Linked DNA regions of Oryctolagus cuniculus. The main gene of each other region encodes a partner of the protein of the gene in region 2 in a complex. Links are inferred from orthologs where the notes say so. Each region holds a gene or a part of one and is shown on either strand. Other genes may lie near its edges.

Region 1 (3,517 bases), on a different chromosome or scaffold from region 2:
TTTTCATCTTCTCAAACTAAAACTTTGTACCCTTTTGATTAACCTTGCACCTTTCTCCACACATCCTATGCCTACCCCCACCCCTAGCCTCTGGTAATCATCATTCAACTGTAATTCTGAGTTCAAATTTTAAAGATTCTATATGTAAGTGAGATCATACAATTTTTGTTTTTCTGTGCTTGGTTTAACTCACTTGAGATAATATCCTCTATATTCATCCATGTTTGTCACAAATAACAGAATTCCATTCTTTTGTAAGGCTGAATAGTACTCCACTTTGTTTATATACCCCAATTTACCATAGCCACTCATCTATTGGTAGGCACTTAAGTGTTTCCACATCTTGGTTATTTTGACTGGTATTGCAGTGAACATCAGAGTTAAGACAGCTCTTCAATATTACTGGTTTTTGTTCCTTTGGATATATTCCCAGAAGTGGGATTAATAGATTGCATTTAGTCCCTCAACAACTTCAAGTCTTTTCTCAAATGTTGTTTTGGTGTTTATTTGTTATAACTTTCAGGTTCTAGATTAATATCTGAATAATTGAGACTTCCAAATTATTGATCTTTGTTAGTTTACCTTTAATCTTTTCATGTGAGGTAGTTAGAAGGTCAAACCACAATTTTTTATGTCCATTATCATTAGCCAGCAGAGATTAGGATCTATGAATGTACCAAAGAGTATATACCATCTCTGTCAATCTCACACCTTAGCTAGCTACTTGATGCATCCTTGGAACTATTTTTAACCCGATGAGATTCTGAGATAATGTTAAGATCAACTGGATGCATCACTTTTCTCTACCAAGAGTTCTGCAACCACGATCGCTTTACTAAAAATAGCTCACAAGCTAAAGCTCTCTCGGCATTTGCTTGATATGATTCTGAATGATCGTTTGCTTTCCATTCTCAGGACCCAAGCTAAAATAGTAGTAGACCCCTTGTGAATGTCAGAGCTGGGATTTGTGGGTAGCATAACTGATTACATGAGGTTCATCCATAGTATTTGAGTTTAATCTGAAGCCCAGGATCTGACTAATAATTCAGATGAAGAGGGTTTTTTTCTTGGTTTTGTGTACATGTGTGCCATTTAACTTTTTGTTTGAGGATATGTAAATGCATGTATTTTTTTTTTCCCCAGTAACATTTACTAGGTGAGTAGAACAGAATTGATACCTTTTTCAAATGAATACTACACAATAGTATATTGTATTCAAATGAATGAATTGTATTCAAATGAATGTATTCAAATGAATACAATAAGTAGAACTAATAATGAAACTTTTTTTTAATTTTAGAGAAAGATCTAGGTATAGTCAGAAATCAAGATAATCAACAATGTCTGCCACTGAAGAAGACCTGTGTCACCACATGAAAGTAGTTGTTCGTGTACGTCCTGAAAACACAAAGGAAAAGGCAGCTGGATTCCGTAAAGTGGTCCATGTTGTGGATAAACATATACTACTTTTTGATCCCAAACAAGAAGAAATCAGTTTTTTTCATAAAAAGAAAACTACAAATTTTGATATTACAAAGAGACAAAATAAAGATCTTAAATTTGTATTTGATACTGTTTTTGATGAAACTTCAACTCAATTGGAAGTTTTTGAACAAACAACTAAGCCAATTCTTCGTAGTTTTTTGAATGGATATAATTGCACAGGTAATTGTTTCAGTTTGGCATTCAATTTCTCCATTTGGATTGCAGTTTTATATAGGAAAATCATATAGTTGGCCCTTATTAAGATGCTTCTGTGGTAAAGTTCAGCAGACAAATGACAAAATAGACTTTCTTTAAAATTTTGCCATTGTATATAACATATATCAATTGTGAGACTTTGTTTCCTGTGGTCTCATTGTGTCCCCTATAGATTTAATCCTTTCTGTTTCCTATATTATTAAACCACATATTTCTGGCAGTTTACAGTGGAGTTCTCAAAATTTGTATTCCTAAATATACCCACTGCTGACCTCTACAATTATCTATCTCTGGGGTAGTAGTCCTGGTTTTCTGAATACTTAGTAATATCATTGCAACACTGTTTATCTTGATGATACATTGAAATAAAAATATTAAAAGTTCATCTTATCTGAATATTTTGTGCCATTTTAGGATATCAGAGCCCAAAAAGTCTAATGCTTTGGAGAGGCTATAGTAATTTTCCTTTCAAATTACTGTTGATCCTAGAATAAATGAGACCCTTAATAGTCAGTTAATTCAATTTATACATTTTAGGAAATGCATGGCTGTTATGTTATTAATATCATATTTTCATAGTTAAAAGTTTGTATAACATTTCTCCAAGACACCCCTCAAAGACAGTGGTATAGAAAAGGAGCAGCAAATGCTGAAAACATTGAATCTAATACATCTAGAAATAAGAAATAAACCTGGAAAAATAAACAAGCACCTTCCCTTAGAGTGATTTATCATTTTTCCAAGGTGGGGAATTTGAATTTCTCATGTAGGAATATGAGACTAAATGGAAAGTTTAACATAATTGGATCCCATTTTGCTGAAGATGATTTTAGTATGAATCCCAAGGGATGGATAATAGAAGACTGAGACTAATAGGTAGGGAGATCCATGATTGGTTAAAATTTACAAGACTACTTTGGAAGAAAGGGCACAAGTTTGGAGTAGGAGGTGCTGGGTGATGGTAGCATTAATCACAATGGAATATGGGTGTAAGAGATTTGTGCTAGAATTCCCAGGTTTTGAGCATTAATCAAATTTGGATCTGTTAGGTTTAAAGTTACTGTAAAGAATATCCAGATGGAACTATCCACTTGTCAGTGCATAGGAGAGTGTTACATGTCATAACAAAGAGCTTTGATTCCTTTTCATAAAAATTCAGTACTTGCCTATGGGGCCACTGGAGCTGGGAAGACCCACACAATGCTAGGATCAGTTGGTGAACCTGGAGTGATGTACCTAACGATGTTAGACCTTTACAAATCCATGGATGAAATTAAAGAAGAGAAAGTATGCAGTACTGCAGTCTCTTATCTGGAGGTAAGCTGGCAGTTTCATTTGTTTAAATTAATAGTTTTGAGAAATCTTTGTTATGGTTCATTAAAACTATTTTATTGCACAAGAGTTTTCAATATATAAATTCATTAAAATTCCTGGTCTGGAGTATTTATTGTACATTTTTTTAGGGTTAATTTTTTATGGGGCCGACGCTGTGGCTCACTTTGTTAATCCTCTGCCTGCGGCGCTGGCATCCCATATGGGCGCCGGGTTCTAGTCCCGGTTGCTCCTCTTTCAGTCCAGCTCTCTGCTGTGGCCCAGGAAGGCAGTGGAGGATGGCCCAGGTGCTTGGGCCTCTGCATCCACATAGGAGACCAGGGGGAAGCACCAGGCTCCTGGCTTCGGATCGCCGGCCATGGTGGCCATTTGTTGTTTTTTTTTTTTTTTGGACAGGCAGAGTTAGACAGTGAGAGAGAGAGACAGAGAGAAAGGTCTTCCTTCCGTTGGTTCACCCCCAAATGGCCACTACGGCTGTTGCTGC
Region 2 (4,065 bases):
CGGCTCACTAGGCTAATCCTCCGCCTTGCGGCGCCAGCACACCGGGTTCTAGTCCCGGTCGTGGCACCAGATTCTGTCCCGGTTGCCCCTTTTCCAGGCCAGCTCTCTGCTGTGGCCAGGGAGTGCAGTGGAGGATGGCCCAAGTGCTTGGACCCTGCACCCCAAGGGAGACCAGGAGAAACACCTGGCTCCTGCCTTCGGATCAGCGCGGTGCACCGGTCGCAGCGGCCATTGGAGGGTGCACCAACGGCAAAACGAAGACCTTTCTCTCTGTTTCTCTCTCTCACTGTCCACTCTGCCTGTCAAATAAATAAATAAATAAATAAAATAAAAATAATTAAAAAAATAAAAATACCTATCTCAAGGCACTTCATGTGGCTAGAGCTTGGTAAAAGTCTCCCTTTCCCACTTGGTTACTTCAGTGGTAACCGGTCTTCCAGCCTGTTACCTCGGGCAGTTCACCTCTGTATTCCAGGCTCAGTGAAATAGGTACCTACCGGTGAGTGCTCCTATCCATAACTTTCCATCAAGAATTCATGTCCTAGTAAGCGATCCCTGTTAGAGAGCAGAGCCTTTTCCAAAGAAACTTAACCAGCGATGGGTGGGGTATACCTTAATCTCAAAGGTCGGTTGCCTTCCAGTTTACATCCATTAGCTATTTTCCTTCTTTTTTAAAATTTTTTTTATTTATTTTTTATTTGAAAGGCAGAGTTACAGAGAGAGCAAGAGACTGACAAATCTTCCATCGGCTTGGTTCATTCTCCAAATGGCTGCAATGGCCAGGGCTGGTCCAGGAGGGAGCTAGGAGCTTCATCCAGGTCTCCCACTCGTGGAGGCAGCTTCTTCCACTGCTTTTCCAGGCACATTAGGAGGGAGCTTGACTGAAGTGGAGCAGCCGGGACTCGAACCGGTGATCATACAGGATGCCGGGGGTACAGGCGGGGGCCTAACCCGCTACGCTACAATGCCGGCCCTGATATTTTTGTAAACTATATTCCAAAACGTTTCGGTAAAGTAAGCGGATATTAAACATTTTAATATGCACTATACATACACACACTTCACAGGGTGAACTAACAGGAGACGACACCACGACGTAGTGGGGCGGGGCTGGAGGCGGGGACACCCTCGGGGACCTATTTTCTAGACAGCAGTTGCCATGGCGACCACCTCGCCTTCCCATTGGTCACTGCCGAACCTATTGCGGTTCCCCAAGCGGACTTTAATTGGCTGCCGATCTGCCGCAGCCCGACCTGTCGAGAGCCGTAAGTGAAGTGTCGCAAAGCAGAAGGAAGGCGGGAGTCCCGACTGCAAACACTGAGAAAGCCCCGGCTGTAGGGGCCGCTATGGCGAGTGCGCAGTGGGCCGAGGTCCGAGAGAAATTCCAGGCGGCGCTGGCCCTGTCGCGAGTGGAACTGCATAAAAACCCGGAGAAGGAACCGTACAAGTCCAAATACAGCGCCAGAGCGCTGCTGGAAGAGGTCAAGGCGCTGCTCGGCCCCGCGCCCGACGACGAGGATGAGCGGCTGCAGGCCGACGAGGGCTTGGGCGCTGGGGACCACGCCCTGGGGCTGCCCACGGAGGTGGTGGAGGCCGAAGGGCCCGTCGCCCAGCGGGCGGTCAGGCTGGCGGTTATAGAGTTCCACCTCGGGGTGAACCACATCGACACCGAGGAGCTGTCGGCGGGCGAGGAGCACCTGGTGAAATGCCTGCGGCTGCTGCGCAGGTACCGGCTCTCGCACGGCTGCATCTCCCTCTACATCCAGGCGCAGGTGAGAGCGAGCCCGGCCGGCCGCCGTGCAGCCCCCAGAGCCGGCCCCGGGCCGTGCGAGGCGAGGGCGTGGAGAGGAGCCCCCGCTCCGGGCCGTGTTAGATATGGCACGACTTCTGCTCGTGTGTTTGAAGCGGTGGGAAAGGCCAGCCTTAGGACTTGGAGCCGTGTAACCGCATCCCCCTGCGCTGGCTTCCATACTCCCTCTCCATGCCTCGCTTGCCCACGGGCAGCACGCTGGTTTCCGGGGCCCTCCTGCGTGTCATGTGCCCGCCGGCTCTCCGCTGTCCAGAGACTGGTCATTCTGTTAAAATCCAGACTAATGTAAATCTTAACTTAAGGTGTCGTGGAAATGACAGTGACCGTAAAACATTAATAATTCAAAACAAAATGTCTGAAGTCTTCAGTTTCCGTTGCTACATTGGTTCGCCCCCCCGGGGGATTCCTGCCCATTCAAAACCATCCCAAGAATCACCTCATTTCAGTAACTTTCTTTGGATCATTTTGGTTCAGACTGATCTCTTTACCACCTTTGAATACTTACAATATTCCCGTTTTTATGGTGCTTGATAAGAAATAAACCAACATTCTGCATTGGGAACAAAACTCTTGAAAATACAAGGATGCATGAGCTTCCTGTGTGTGCCAGGATGTTTGCTTACTCTCACAGCCAGTAGTTCCAGGACCCAGTGTAGGTGATTGAGGGAATATTACCAAAGTGGATTTGATGGCAAGTAGGTCTCAAAGACAAACCTCAAAATTAAGAGACAACTCATACTGGATCATATTCTTTTGTCATGGTCCAGCAATTTGAAAGCCACACAGTAACAGAGACTACCTTTTCTTAAACTCACCCCAGTAGGTGGCACATAGTGTGCAGATTCTAAATATCTCTTGAGTGGATGAGGAACTATTGAAATTTGTAATATGTTAAATTCAAACTAAACTTCAGTTATCTGAAGTTTTCCTTAACCATATAACCTCAGATTTTTTTTTTTTTTTTTTTTTTTTTTTGGACAGGCAGAGTGGACCGTGAGAGAGAGAGAGAGAGAGAAAGGTCTTCCTTTTGCTGTTGGTTCACCCTCCAATGGCCACCGTGGCCAGCCTGCTGTGGCTGGCGCACCGCGCTGATCCGATGGCCGGAGCTAGGTGCTTCTCCTGGTCTCCCATGGGATGCAGGGCCCAAGGACTTGGGCCATCCTGCACTGCGCTCCCTGGCCACAGCAGAGAGCTGGCCTGGAAGAGGGGCAACCGGGACAGAATCCGGTGCCCTGACCGGGACTAGAACCTGGGGTGCCGGCGCCGCAAGGCGGAGGATTAGCCTAGTGAGCTGTGGCGCCGGCCATAACCTCAGATCTTAATGAGTACTTTAAAAATTATTTAAGGAGTGGTTGTTGTGGCGCAGCGGGTTACACCACTGCTTGCAGTGCCAGCATACTTGATTGAGGCATGGAGCCCTGATGTGGAGTCCTGGCTGCTCCACTTCCAATCCAGCTCCCTGCTAATGTGCTCCCTGGGAGACAGCAGGTATTCCTGCGTCAACATGGGGGACCCAGATGGGGCTCCTGGATCCTGGCTTTGGCCTAGCTCAGCCCTAGCTGTTGCAGCCATTTAGGGAGTGAACCAGTGATGAAAGATCTCTTTCTCTATTGTTATTCCATCTCTGTCACTTGGCCTTTCAAATAAATTAAATAAATCTTAAAAAATCTGTTAAAGGCCGATGCCGCTGTGGATCACTTGGTTAATCCTCCGCCTGCGGCACTGGCATCCCATATGGGCGCTGGTTCTAGTCCCGGCTGCTCCTCTTCCAGTCCAGCTCTCTGCTGTGGCCTGGGAGGGCAGTGGAGGATGGCCCAAATGCTTGGGCCCTGCACCCTCATGGGAGACCAGGAAGAAGCACCTGGCTCCTGGCTTCAGATCGGCGCAGCTCCAGTTGTGGCAGTCATTTGAGGAGTGAACCAACGGAAGGAAGACCTTGCTCTCTCTCTCTCTCTCTCTCACTGTCTGTAACTCTACCTGTCAAATAAAAAAAAATCTGTTAAAAAGAATAAGTAAATAATGTTGAACAGAGAACTGCCCAATCTCATTATATTATCAGTATGACCTACAGTGCTAACTACTGAGGACAGATCAAGTCACTTTTTCATAAAATTATTGAGTTGATATATTTTATGTTTCTGTGGAATGACCAAGTCACTTTTTTTTTTCTTAAGGATTTATTTTGTTTATTTGAAAGACAGGCTTACAGAGAGGCAGAGAGAGGGGAGGGAGTCTTCCAAACGCTGGTTCACTCC
Region 3 (3,517 bases), on a different chromosome or scaffold from region 2:
TTCATGTGTGCTAATGTTGTTTTCCATAATCATTTTCTGCTGCAGATTATAACTACACCAACCAAGGCTTATCAGCTTCGTTCTCTGCTGGTGCCAAAAATGAGCCCTGAAATAGGGAGCTTTACTCCTGCGCACACTGAGGAGTCCAGCAAAGTAGATAATGACATCGCAAATGAGCCCATTCCCCCTGAGATGAGCGAGCAAGCATTTGAGGCCATTTCAGAAGAGCTGAGAACAGTGCAGGTAATGCTTAGTTTTAGAAATAGTAAATAATTGAACACTTATTTAAATAAAGTTGCTTTATCTGCCATTTTACCTCCCTGTAATTTGTGCTGTTCAAACCTGCTTAGTGCTGTAATTGTCTTGCTAAGTCTGCGTATGTAAAGGTCCCTGGCTAGGAAATCAGCCTGCCCTTCTCTTTTAATTCACTTTGCAGTCTTTAGCAAGTCATTTTCCAACCTCTGTGGATTTAGTTCCTTCATGCATAAAATGACCAGACTGCCACAAGCAAACCAGTTCCAGAACTGACGTGTATGGCATGATGCTGAGTCTTGTACAGAGAGTGAAAATAATTTGAAAAACTGTTACACATGAGATGTTTGACAGCTTTTAGAGTATTTGAAATAACATGTGAAATTTGATTATTTCAGAATTTAGTCATTTGGCGATTTTTTCACAAAGCTGTCCAATAAAACTTGGAATGGACCAGACTGCTCCCCATCCCAAGTCTGCCCCTCCCAGGCCTTGGACGTCCTTGGATGAGGTTATCTCTTGCAACCTGAGGAAGCTTCTTAGAAGTCTCAGGTGGCATTTGGTTTAACCCAGGATATAAAATTGTTTTAAAGTTTTTACTTATTTTATTTAATTGAAAGATAGCGCTCTTACCTGCTTGTGCACTTAAATGCCCATAACAGCTGGGTCTGGGCCAGGCCAAAGGGAGGAGCCTGGAACTCAGTCTAGGTCTCCCACATGGGTGGCAAGGACCCCAGTACTTGCCCCAGCCTCTTCAGTATGGGATGAGGGAATCTCAAATGACATGTTAACTGCAGCCCCAAATGCCCACCCCAGGATGTCAGTTTTAATCACTCTGTCCTCTGTGTTTCACTTGTTACCTTTGATGGAGGGTGTTCTGAAGCATGAGACACTCTATAGCCTTTTGAAATGGTTTTCTACCCCCAGTCAGGCCTTGGATACCTTTTTTCAGTGAAACTTTGAGTTTGCTTTGTGTGTGGTCTCTAATGCAGAAGAAAAGGTGGGGTGGTTGAGAATTCCATTGGGAGAACTTTGGTGACTGAAGTCTCTGTGTTGCAGGAACAAATGAGTTCTCTTCAAGTCAAGTTGGACGAAGAAGAGCACAAAAACCTGAAGCTGCAGCAGCATGTCGACAGACTGGAGCATCACTCCACACAGATGCAGGAGGTGAGACAGGCGCCATGTGCCCCATGGCCTCAAAGACAGAGCCCATGGGAGGCCATGATGTCAGCTGCACGTTCTGCCCTGAGAAGGAGACAGAGAGCACAAAACAGGTTAAGGATCTGCAGCGTGTCGTGGCTGACCAGTGTTCCTTTTCCAATAAATGCATGTTTTTCCCAAAGCTTTTCTCATCAGAAAGAACTGATTGGGCCAAACAGCAGCAGGAGCATCTCTCACAGTTGAACATCCTTGACAAGCAGCTGCGAGACACTCAAACCAAGAATGACTGTAAGTGAGAGCGCCGACGGGCTTTGTGGCTCTGTTCATTTACATAATGCTGCCCTGGCTTTTGCTTGGTTCCATTTCACTGTTACTTGTCGTGAGATGACTAGACATAAGCTGTGTGTGTGGTAGCTGAGTAGTATATCATAAAAGGTAGTAATTACCTTCAGCATTGTCAACACATAAATGATTCAATTGTTTGCTTAAAGTTTTAAGTAAACTGCTTTGAGAATGAAGTCTCTTCAATTCATAAGATGAATATTTTGCTATTGACAACAACACATAAATTAGAGACTTGTAGATATTTGTAGATGTGAGAATCTTATTTGATGGCTAGTTTTTTATTTCTCCCTTCATCAGAGTATGTGCAAGTAGTTTATAATACAGCTAAAATGAAAGCCGATCTGTTTCCTTTAGAGTTATTTATTTATTTGAAAGGTAGAGTTAGAGAGAAAGAAGGAGAAGCAGAGATCTTCTATCTACTGGGACTCCCCAGATGGTCACAATGGAAGGGCTGGGCCAGGCCGAAGCCAGGAAGAGCCTGAACTCCATCCTGATCTCCCACGTGGGTGGCAGGGACCCGAGCACTTGGGCCATCTTCTGCCGCTTTCCCAAGTGCATTATCAGGGAGCTGGATCAGAAGTGAAACAGCTAGGACATACATCAGCACCCCATGTGGAAAGCTGGTGTCGCAGGCAGCGACATAACACTACACCAGGGTGCCAGCCCCATTTTTGTTTAATTACCTAATTATATTTGCAAGTGGAGTCTCATTAGGACACCAGAAATGCTTAACCTGTATTGTGAAGTTCTGATACATTTCCAAGGGATTTGTAATTCATGAGATTATATTGGGGCCGCCGCTGTGGCGCAGCAGGTTAACGCCCTGGCACGAAGCGCCAGCATCCCATATGGGCGCCGGTTCTATTCCTGGCTGCTCCTCTTCCCATCCAGCTCTCTGCTGTGGCCTGGGAAAGCAGTAGAAGATGGCCCGAGTCCTTGGACCCCTGCACCCATGCGGGAGACCCAGAAGAAGCTCCTGGCTCCTGGCTTTGGCCTGGCCCAGTCCAGTTGTTGCAGCCATTTGGGGAGTAAACCAACAGATGAGAAACCTTTTTCTCCAACTCTGCCTTTCTAATAAATAAGTCTTTAAAAAAATTTTTTTTGATGCACATTCTGTGGGAGAAATCTGCAGAAGTCTAGTTACCTGTGAGCTGACTCTTCCTTTTTGATAGAAATGTTTCAAAAAGCATAAGCAGGGAAGAAGAAAATGAGAAGAGACAGGCCCCTCTCTGAAAGAGGTCCCTTACCTTGAATGTGCGGATTTGGCAAGGGGACCTCCCGAGTTCATTTGCCTACTTTATGAAACACACTGGTGAAGATCGCCGTTGAGGATTTGTTTTGTTTCTGCTTAGTCCTGAGGAGCGAGGTGCATGACCTGCGGGTGGTGCTTCACTCTGCCGACAAGGAGCTGTCCTCTGTGAAACTGGAGTACAGCGCGTTCAGAGCGCGCCAGGAGGAGGAGCTCAGCCAGCTTTCCGAGAGGCACGTGCACGTCCAGCTGCAGCTCGACAGCGTCAGGTACCCAGCTTCCTCTGCGGCTCCAGGCTGTTGCTTGGCTGTGACCTAGGACTGCTGGAAATACACGTGTTGTAAGTCCAGCGCACGCTGGGGAGTGCAGAGGGGATAAACTAGCCTGCAGCTCAGGATCGTCGGTCTCTCTCTGTCTCAGCCCCGCTTCCCTCTGTGGGGTGTGCTTGTTTTCTGCTGCACTGAGGACCAGCCTCGAGGTGACAAGGAGCAGTATGCCTCAGACAGATAG

What was found.
Region 1: the proteins of KIFBP (region 2) and KIF18A are in contact, whole or in part, in a cryo-EM structure (PDB 7RSI), measured with the Homo sapiens proteins. The link is inferred for Oryctolagus cuniculus from reciprocal best matches to the Homo sapiens genes KIFBP and KIF18A. Residues at the interface, in NP_056449.1 of Homo sapiens: Ser150, Glu151, Tyr212, Tyr213, Gln216, His220, Gln238, Ile251, Asn252, Thr255, Gln258, Asn262, Gly414, Tyr415, Val459, Asp460, Leu461, Asn462, Pro463, Gln464, Leu467; in NP_112494.3 of Homo sapiens: Glu181, Thr183, Gln184, Lys185, Gly186, Arg274, Phe275, Val276, Glu277, Gly278, Thr279, Asn280, Ile281, Arg283, Ser284, Leu285, Leu288, Gly289, Val291, Ile292, Arg314, Lys317, Asp318, Gly322, Asn323.
Region 3: the proteins of KIFBP (region 2) and KIF15 are in contact, whole or in part, in a cryo-EM structure (PDB 6ZPH), measured with the Homo sapiens proteins. The link is inferred for Oryctolagus cuniculus from reciprocal best matches to the Homo sapiens genes KIFBP and KIF15. Residues at the interface, in NP_056449.1 of Homo sapiens: Lys26, Tyr33, Lys36, Ile106, Glu109, Ile147, Ser150, Glu151, Glu153, Thr208, His209, Tyr212, Tyr213, Gln216, Gln219, His220, Phe224, Gln238, Glu248, Trp249, Ile251, Asn252, Thr255, Gln258, Phe259, Asn262, Tyr415, Val416, Thr417, Glu421; in NP_064627.1 of Homo sapiens: Leu187, Glu189, Ile191, Lys192, Lys193, Arg231, Glu232, Arg235, Arg271, Met280, Arg281, Leu282, Lys283, Glu284, Ala285, Gly286, Asn287, Asn289, Arg290, Leu292, Ser293, Gly296, Gln297, Ile299, Ala301, Val303, Asp304, Val305, Gly306, His312.

What each region holds. Positions count from the first base shown.
Region 1 is NC_091432.1:38,231,571-38,235,087, forward strand, and holds part of KIF18A (kinesin-like protein KIF18A), read left to right. Parts: intron 1-1,300; 5' UTR 1,301-1,340; coding exon 1,341-1,665; intron 1,666-2,860; coding exon 2,861-3,018; intron 3,019-3,517.
Region 2 is NC_091446.1:60,775,603-60,779,667, forward strand, and holds the start of KIFBP (KIF-binding protein), read left to right. Parts: upstream 1-1,250; 5' UTR 1,251-1,346; coding exon 1,347-1,772; intron 1,773-4,065. UniProt on the Homo sapiens protein: Activator of KIF1B plus-end-directed microtubule motor activity. Required for organization of axonal microtubules, and axonal outgrowth and maintenance during peripheral and central nervous system development.
Region 3 is NC_091441.1:102,663,013-102,666,529, forward strand, and holds part of KIF15 (kinesin-like protein KIF15), read left to right. Parts: intron 1-45; coding exon 46-243; intron 244-1,311; coding exon 1,312-1,419; intron 1,420-1,595; coding exon 1,596-1,701; intron 1,702-3,110; coding exon 3,111-3,276; intron 3,277-3,517. UniProt on the Homo sapiens protein: Plus-end directed kinesin-like motor enzyme involved in mitotic spindle assembly.